Linked DNA regions of Ovis aries. The protein of the gene in region 2 purifies or fractionates together with the protein of the main gene of each other region. This does not show direct contact. Links are inferred from orthologs where the notes say so. Each region holds a gene or a part of one and is shown on either strand. Other genes may lie near its edges.

Region 1 (3,820 bases), on a different chromosome or scaffold from region 2:
TCTTGTCTCATTAGAAGGAAGGCCTGCAAACACAGGACATTTTGTTATTCAACTGCTTTTCCCCCCAAGTACATGATACTCTGAGAGCCAAGGTATTTTGTTCTATATTTATTTGTAAGCGGGGCCATCCCCTGACACTGCTGAGGCAGTTGTTGTTGTTCAGTCACTAAGTCATACCTGACTCTGCAACCCCATGAACTGCAGCACGCCAGGCTTCCCTGTCCTTCACCATCTCCTGGAATTTGCTCAAATTCATGTCCACTGATGCCATCCGACCATCTCGTCCTCTGTCGTCCCCTTCTCCTCCTGCCCTCAATCTTTCCCAGCATCAGGGTCTTTTCCAATGAGTCAGCTCTTCACATCAGGTGGCCAAAGTATTGGAGTTGCAGCATCAGTCCTTCTAGCGAATATTCAGGGTCAATTTCCTTTAAGATTGACTGGTGTGACCTCCTTGCTGAGGCAGTTGGTGTCACCAAAGAGCCACTGGATCAGGACAGACACCTGGCTTCCACTACCAGCTCTGCCATCATCATCACGTGCCTCTGATTACCCAACCCCCCCCACCCCCTGAACCTTTCCTTCTTATCTGCAAAAGGAAGGCCACAACCACAAAATCTTGGTCTTCCTTAGCAGACAATCATAAATCAAAACAAATGCCCAGGGTTAGTTATTACTTTAAAAACCACTCCTCTGATGGGGGAGGAGTGAGTCTTTCTGAAAGACATACACTTCTGCTCATCCATTCATATTTAATATCAGAAGGCACACCTACACTGTACATCTGCCTGTTGAGACTATTTTATATTCAGAAAACGATGCTGCTGCCCCAAATTTACTGTGAAAAGTGGGTAAGTCTCATCTACTGACAACCGTGCTTAAATATGTCATGGGCAACGAAATCAAGAGGTAAAAAAGAAGTCAACTTTAAAAAGGGAATAAAAAACATCAACTGCCCTTGATTTCAACAGAAAAACGCAAACCACATGAATCCAAGGAATGCTGAAATGCCAATATCCTGGGTCCCCCTCCCTGACCAGTGAGCTACAGTGCAGAAGGTTTGGGGACCAGAGCCAGACAAGCAGGATCTACATCTTGGTTTTGTCACCGGCCAGCTTCGTGAGCCTATGGCCACCGGAGTCATTCTGGTACAACAGGGTAACAACAATACATTCCACGCTGGGCAGATAACAGAAATTACATGAGATAATATGGGTGCAGACCCAGCACAGAGATCCTCAACAAATGTTGGCTCCCACCCTCCTGATTCCTCCTGGATAATAACCTGATTCGAGAGTCCGAATCAGGTCTTGCAGCCTCAGAGAGAAATACACAGGGGGACAGCCAGTGTGGGTGCACCCTAATGAGAGAACCCAGAGGATGCAGGGAACAAGAGTCTGCAGAAATCATGAGATAATGAAACACCTTGTATCTTTCCAAAGAGGTGAGTCATTTTCTTTCAGGTGTCAAATGAATAGCCAAATGTATCACAATCAAAATTCGTCAGGAAAAAAGTCAGCCAGATACCCATTTCAAATGAGGAGTAGCTTCTAATGATGCCTCAGAGGCCCTGGTGACAGTCTCCTGATACTTGAAGGATTAACACACACTCCCCCACACCTCCTCCACAAATACAAAAGGCACTGCTGAATCCAGAAGTCCTAATGAGCTCAAAGTTTATTTCATTTCTAAAATACATTTAAACTCAAACCCATCGCTTACATCTCCTTAATTCTGAAATCCAATTCTCAGTTTGGGCACTCTACCAGCATCTTTTCAAAAGTTGGACTCTGGAAAATAAATGCACTCTCAGACAGAAGGGGGGAAAAACCCATCAGACATGCACAAAACTTGCACCCTTGAATACATTCCAATTTCCTCAGCCTTCATCTCCCTTAGCTTTTCACAATCAGTAAAGTGCAGTTACCAATCATTGGAAATGACATGAGCTTAATGTCAGAAATCATTTAGCTTAAATAAGAAAATAACTCCATTTAGCTTTCTCCCACAAAGTAAAATTAAGTTTGTTTAGCCTTTTTTTAATTTATTGCCAAAGGGCAGATTTAATTTCAAGGGAGTGAAAACCCAACTCATTCTCAAGTAAAGTCTGATGTTACCACTTTAATTTTGCTCTAACTATTGAGGCACAAAGGCTGTAAGCATTAAACTAAAGAGGCATTAATTATGGAAAAACAATAGGTGAGTGGGACCCACCGAGCTTTTTAATCAGAGGGTAGGGAGCTGGGGGGAGATGCCTACCATCTTCCTTTGCTATACTGTAAACACAAGCTTGAAGAGATCCCACTGAGTCTAGGGAGCCTTTTCAGCCCACCCTTTAGGCCTTCATTCTCAAGAACTTACCAGATACGTTAATCGAGGCCCCTGCATCAATGATCCCACTGTTGGGCCTCACGCAGTACCTACGTGGTGCTGTGGTCTTCACTTTAAAACACACATTTCGATCTGTCGGGTTGCCAAGCTTCAGGTTGGTGGTGACAACATCGGTGAAAGGACCTGCAGAATGAGACAGGGACTGGTTGGGGATCCCATGAGGACCATGCGGAGGAAAGACTGATTTATGGTATGGGGTCAGGACGGATGTGGAACGTGGTTGACTCATGATCATTTCATCATGACACACAGGAGAGATGGGCTGAGGCCAACACACTAACAGTGACAGCTAAAATCCACCACGGTCTCGTCATACCACCAGGCACCTGGGCTAGTGAGCATTCCAGCAGACAGGGTCTCCCTGATACCTCACAACTTTACTGCCAGACAAGAACACTGAGGCTTGGGAGAACATACCACTTGCCTAAAATTTTCATGGTAGTTAGTGGTAGCGAGGGTCTGCAACCAAGCAGCCTGAGTCCAAGGCCAGCTCTTAACCTATGCTGAACACTGATTCCCACAGTAACCAAATGAAATCTAACACAGAGAAGGTAAAGGACTAGACTTGGGTCCAAAATGATGATCAAAGGCAGCAGATTCAAGAAAGACTTCGAGGTGTTAGTGGTCTGTAAACATAACCCCCCAACAAACAATACAGTGATGCTACAGCAAGGTCAGAGTCCTGCAGGGCAGCCCACACCTAAAATAGCGCGTTCACTTTTAACTACCCAGGGTATTGGAAGATTGAAACAAAGCTCAGTGCCCTAAGGGTATTTTTTATTATTATTTATTCATTTTCTACTTTATTAGATTTTTTTAATTAAAAAAGTAAAACATGCTTCTTAAAACAAGCCAAACAATAAAAGATGTATAAAGAGGAAGTTAATAAGCTTTCCCCTGTCCCTTGAGGTAACTAATATTAACACTGTGGGAGATCCATCCGCATCATCTATGCTTACACAAACTGTACATACATACAGGAGTGTGTGAGTGTGTGTGTGTGTGTGTCAGGGGGAGGGGGGGTAACAAAAATGAAATCATACTACTCACAGTACTCTGAAACTTCCCTGAAACCTGACCCGTAAGGTTTACAAAGGAGTCAGGTGGGAGGGTTGAACTATAATGTCTCTTAGGTCCTTTTCAACCCCTTTTCAAATTTACATTTTTTCATTGTGTACAGCAACGGTGTCTTTGTGCATCTTCCAGGCAAGCTCTTTACTCCTATCTTTATGTTCACAGGGAATTCAGAGATAGGGTGGGGAGGTATATGTGGCCCTGTGCTCACAAACTAGGAAATACATACATTTGGTTCATCTGCTCCATAAGAAGATCCTCAACAAAGATATTTACATCTGTGCCTCGAACATTTTTCAATGAGACTCTGAGCTTCTGAGGACAAGAATGATACCGTACCAGTTTTCACATCTCCGAC
Region 2 (3,820 bases):
ATCCTATATTGTAAAATTTACATATATTTGAATCTACCAGATGTTAAATGTTGACAGTGATCATCAGTGGGTAGTGAGATTAGTGTGATTAATTTTTTTAGGGTCATTAATTTTTCTTTTTAATTCTCTGTATTATCCAAATTTTTACAACAGTAAGAACTTGCTTACAATCTTGGGGGAAAAGATTATCTCCACATTGGGGAAGGTAATTTTGCTTAACTATTTACAACAATGAGAGTGTTCTACTCTTAGCATTAAAAATCTCTTTAGATTTTTACATCTTCTTAACAAACAAGTTTTAAACATTAAGAAAAGAATCTCTGCAGTATGAGGAAAATTCATATTAGTGTTAACAAGGAAATACGTTTGTAAGGTTCTGGCTAGTAAACTGGCAAAGATATTACAGGATGTGAAACAAACCTGATTCTTGTTTCATACCAGAGTCAGAAACATAATAAGTTGAATTAAGTATCTACTGTTTTCTAGAAATTTATAAGGAAATAAAATACTTGGTTTTTAACTTGAAATCCTTAAATTTAGTTTGCCATCCCATAAATAATCTCAGGTTTCAGTTCTTGCTAAAAATTCAGATGAACATATCTGGTTATGATTTTGAATATAGTAACCAGATACACTCCAAACTGACTCAAAGGAGGTTATGAAGTTTCTTTTTCATGGATAAACCCATGAAAGTCCTTTTCCTTATTTGACTGTGAAAATTAAACTTCCAAAACTGGGCCATTCTAAGCGTCATCACAGTACTGCATAAGGGGCACCCTGTGTTTACTATGCTTCAAAATACTTTTATCAGAATCTTTAAGAAGTCCTAATGTGAGACTCATGTGCAAAAAGCCAGCACCTCTGAATCAGTAAACAACCAGTAAACATTTATACAGAAAGAGTCAACATAGAGTATAATATCAACCTTGTAAAAAATTCAAATCTTAATAGTTTAGAATGTCAGAAGGTACTATATAATTTTTAAACATTTCCTTTCATCAATAAAGGTAATGACAGAAAAGTTTTCAAATTGGGCTTTTTTTTTTCTATGCTGAAGCCTGTTTCCACTGTCCTAAAAATCTTTCCGAGGAAAACTTTGAAGTTAGATCTTTTCACCGTTATAAAAATAGTTACAATTTGCAATTTCACAAGCTAAGTTGTGAATCCACTTGCAGTACATGGAGTTTAAAACTGGTAAAATTAAACTCTATTCTAATTTGACAGTGGTAAACATTTTTTCCACACCACTGCACTGGTCATTGCTAACCAAGTCTCTTATCAGATTCTTTAACAAGGAATTTCAGACCATTCTAACTTCTGAAATTTAGGTACAAATTTCAGAAATAAACTTATCATTTTATTTAAATGTGTAAAAGAGCAGATGGATTTCAAAGACAAAGAAGTCACTGTTGAGAGAGTCATTATTTCTTCAATGTTTGAATCCAGTGCTTTTAGCAGCTTCATCTGTGGGAATCAAAACAGTACCTTACTGAGCAGAGGCCTGGAGAGAGCATGACACGGTCAAGAAGGAATCTCACATACCCTCTGAGCATTCACAAACAGCTTGTGAATGATCCTGCCAGCGTGTCCTCTGCCTGCACCGATGACTAACACCTCGGGTTGTTCCAGAAGGCAACTCACAAACCTGGGAGAAAGAGGGAATGAACGGATGGAAAAGGAGCTGCTCAGTTCACACTGGGTCAGTCCTCCCTGATTAATTTTGGGGACAAACCCTCAAAATCATATTGGTGAAAATCATATCAAGGCTGGAGTGAAAATTTAACAGGATAGATCAACATTTGGAATTAAAATCAACTCAAATGACAACCTTCATGCCTTTCAACTCTTTTAATAAATTTTTTCAAAAAGCCCATCTCTGTCAAAGTGTAAGATGAAATAGTCTATTTCTTTTAGACTACAAGCTTAGACAATGTTATACTAAGGAAGATTTTTTTAAATGTTTTAACAACAAAAACCACATTTAATTTAGACAGCAAAGCAATGATCCTTGTGTTTCATTTTTGTTCTTTTAAGAGGTGTGTGTGTGTGCATGCGCAGGCACACATGCACTTAAAATATGTTTTGCTGGGCACAGTCTCAGCTGTAAACTGTGCCATTATGTGCTGGAAGCATTCATCGTTCAAGTGTACCACAGACAACGTATGGTGGAACTAAGAGAGTCGAGGACACAGAGCCACCAAGCTCACACCACCTGCTCGCTAACTCGAACTGCTATTTTAGAAACTTCCTTTGATTAGAGTGTATTCTCCTCATTTAAAAGGAAGGAATATTCAAGAGCAAAGAAGGCTGGGAGAAAACTTCACTCAACAAAAGACATAATATTCAAACAAGAACTTGTTAAAGGCTGTAGCAAATGCCTTGTCATATAATACTAATTATTTAACATCAATAACACTATTTCTCTTGGAAAGGCTGATGAAAATTTTAGTTATAACAAATTCAACCCGTTGAAGTAGCTAATCTGGAAACACTTTCTCATCTATTAAAACAACATCATCCTTTCAAGTATCTCGGGCAAAAATGGACAGGGGTGTGTGCTGACAGCCCCCCTTTGAAATGGTCCAAATCTCAGAAGGAGGAAAAGACTGACCCAGTCATTTGCCTCATCCTGGAAAGGCCATCTGCTCACTCTTTCAAAACATATTCACAAGGGACAGAGATATGCACATTTGCTATCACAACTCTTGTTTAGAACTGTTAAGTAGGAATGTTGAGCAGAAATAGTTTCAGGACACGTCTGCCTATAGTTAAGAACAGTGAGAGTGGGAAGCAAAGTTTCCAGTAACAAGAGTGAATATGAACAGCCAGTTCCTCCAGAGGCAACTGCTCCAAGAGCAAACAAGGACATTCCTAGAAGACTTGGAAGACTTCATTCTTAAAGTGGGAGGAACAGAAACAAGTGACAAGTACTCACAAATACAAGAGAGGTCAATCCTATAATAAACAAATATTTCTCTGTCTCTAACTAACGCTTGTTACAAATAATATGGGAGCACTACAAAGGAATCTCAACACTCTATGAAAATTTTCTAAAGAGTGGCTTTTCCTACGGGAGACAAAGATGAGTTAGTCAGATAGCTATTACCTTTCAAGATCTTCCTTTTCCTCTTCTTGTTCACATTTCTCAGTTCCAAACTTGGCTTTCAGTGAGCGGGCTCTGGCAATTATAGCTTCTACATTAGTAATTTGATGGATGATTTCCTAATAGTGCAAAAGGGGAGAAGCATACATTGGAAAAAGGCAAAAGAAAGCAAAGCATTTTTTAAAAAATTACTGCCAACTGGGAAGAACATTTGACAAGATCAGACTTACTTCCAATTTCTTGTCTTCTGGATTGGGGAAGTGCAAAACTTTACTGGAATGGGATATTATCTGCTTTATAATCTTCTTCACTGAAGAAATGTTTTCTAGACTTTCTGTTTTTAAAAAGATCAAAGCCATCATTAGAAAAGTTAGGCAAAGTCTACCTTCATTTTGGAAATGAACTAATGACTAATCAAATAAGACATTTACCTTCTTCCTTTACCTTGAGTACAGCTGCATGGATTACACAGGGTAACAGGTGCCGAGCAAGGTCTGCCGGCTTCTGGACTGCCAGATAGTGCAGTACCTGAAGGAGACACAAAGTTAGATAAATGACCAAGACAGCTGCCAAAGAAAGCAGCCACTTACAGAAGATCTCTCTCCCCTGAATTCACACCTGTAACAAGAGTAGAGAAGAGCTCTCTTCTCTCAGTACCTATCCTACTCCTTCAGGTAAGTAGCTGCTACTCCCAAAGGTAAGAATAATGTTACTGGA

What was found.
Region 1: the proteins of RAB3GAP1 (region 2) and VAPB purify together in Homo sapiens (affinity purification with mass spectrometry; 4 studies listed by BioGRID and IntAct, counting the BioPlex papers as one, with this or other methods). This does not show direct contact. The link is inferred for Ovis aries from reciprocal best matches to the Homo sapiens genes RAB3GAP1 and VAPB.

The regions. Positions count from the first base shown.
Region 1 is NC_056066.1:57,626,827-57,630,646, forward strand, and holds part of VAPB (vesicle-associated membrane protein-associated protein B/C), read right to left. Parts: intron 2,512-3,820; coding exon 2,359-2,511; intron 1-2,358. UniProt on the Homo sapiens protein: Endoplasmic reticulum (ER)-anchored protein that mediates the formation of contact sites between the ER and endosomes via interaction with FFAT motif-containing proteins such as STARD3 or WDR44.
Region 2 is NC_056055.1:175,592,180-175,595,999, forward strand, and holds part of RAB3GAP1 (rab3 GTPase-activating protein catalytic subunit), read right to left. Parts: intron 3,632-3,820; coding exon 3,535-3,631; intron 3,438-3,534; coding exon 3,334-3,437; intron 3,223-3,333; coding exon 3,107-3,222; intron 1,646-3,106; coding exon 1,543-1,645; intron 1-1,542. UniProt on the Homo sapiens protein: Catalytic subunit of the Rab3 GTPase-activating (Rab3GAP) complex composed of RAB3GAP1 and RAB3GAP2, which has GTPase-activating protein (GAP) activity towards various Rab3 subfamily members (RAB3A, RAB3B, RAB3C and RAB3D), RAB5A and RAB43, and guanine nucleotide exchange factor (GEF) activity towards RAB18.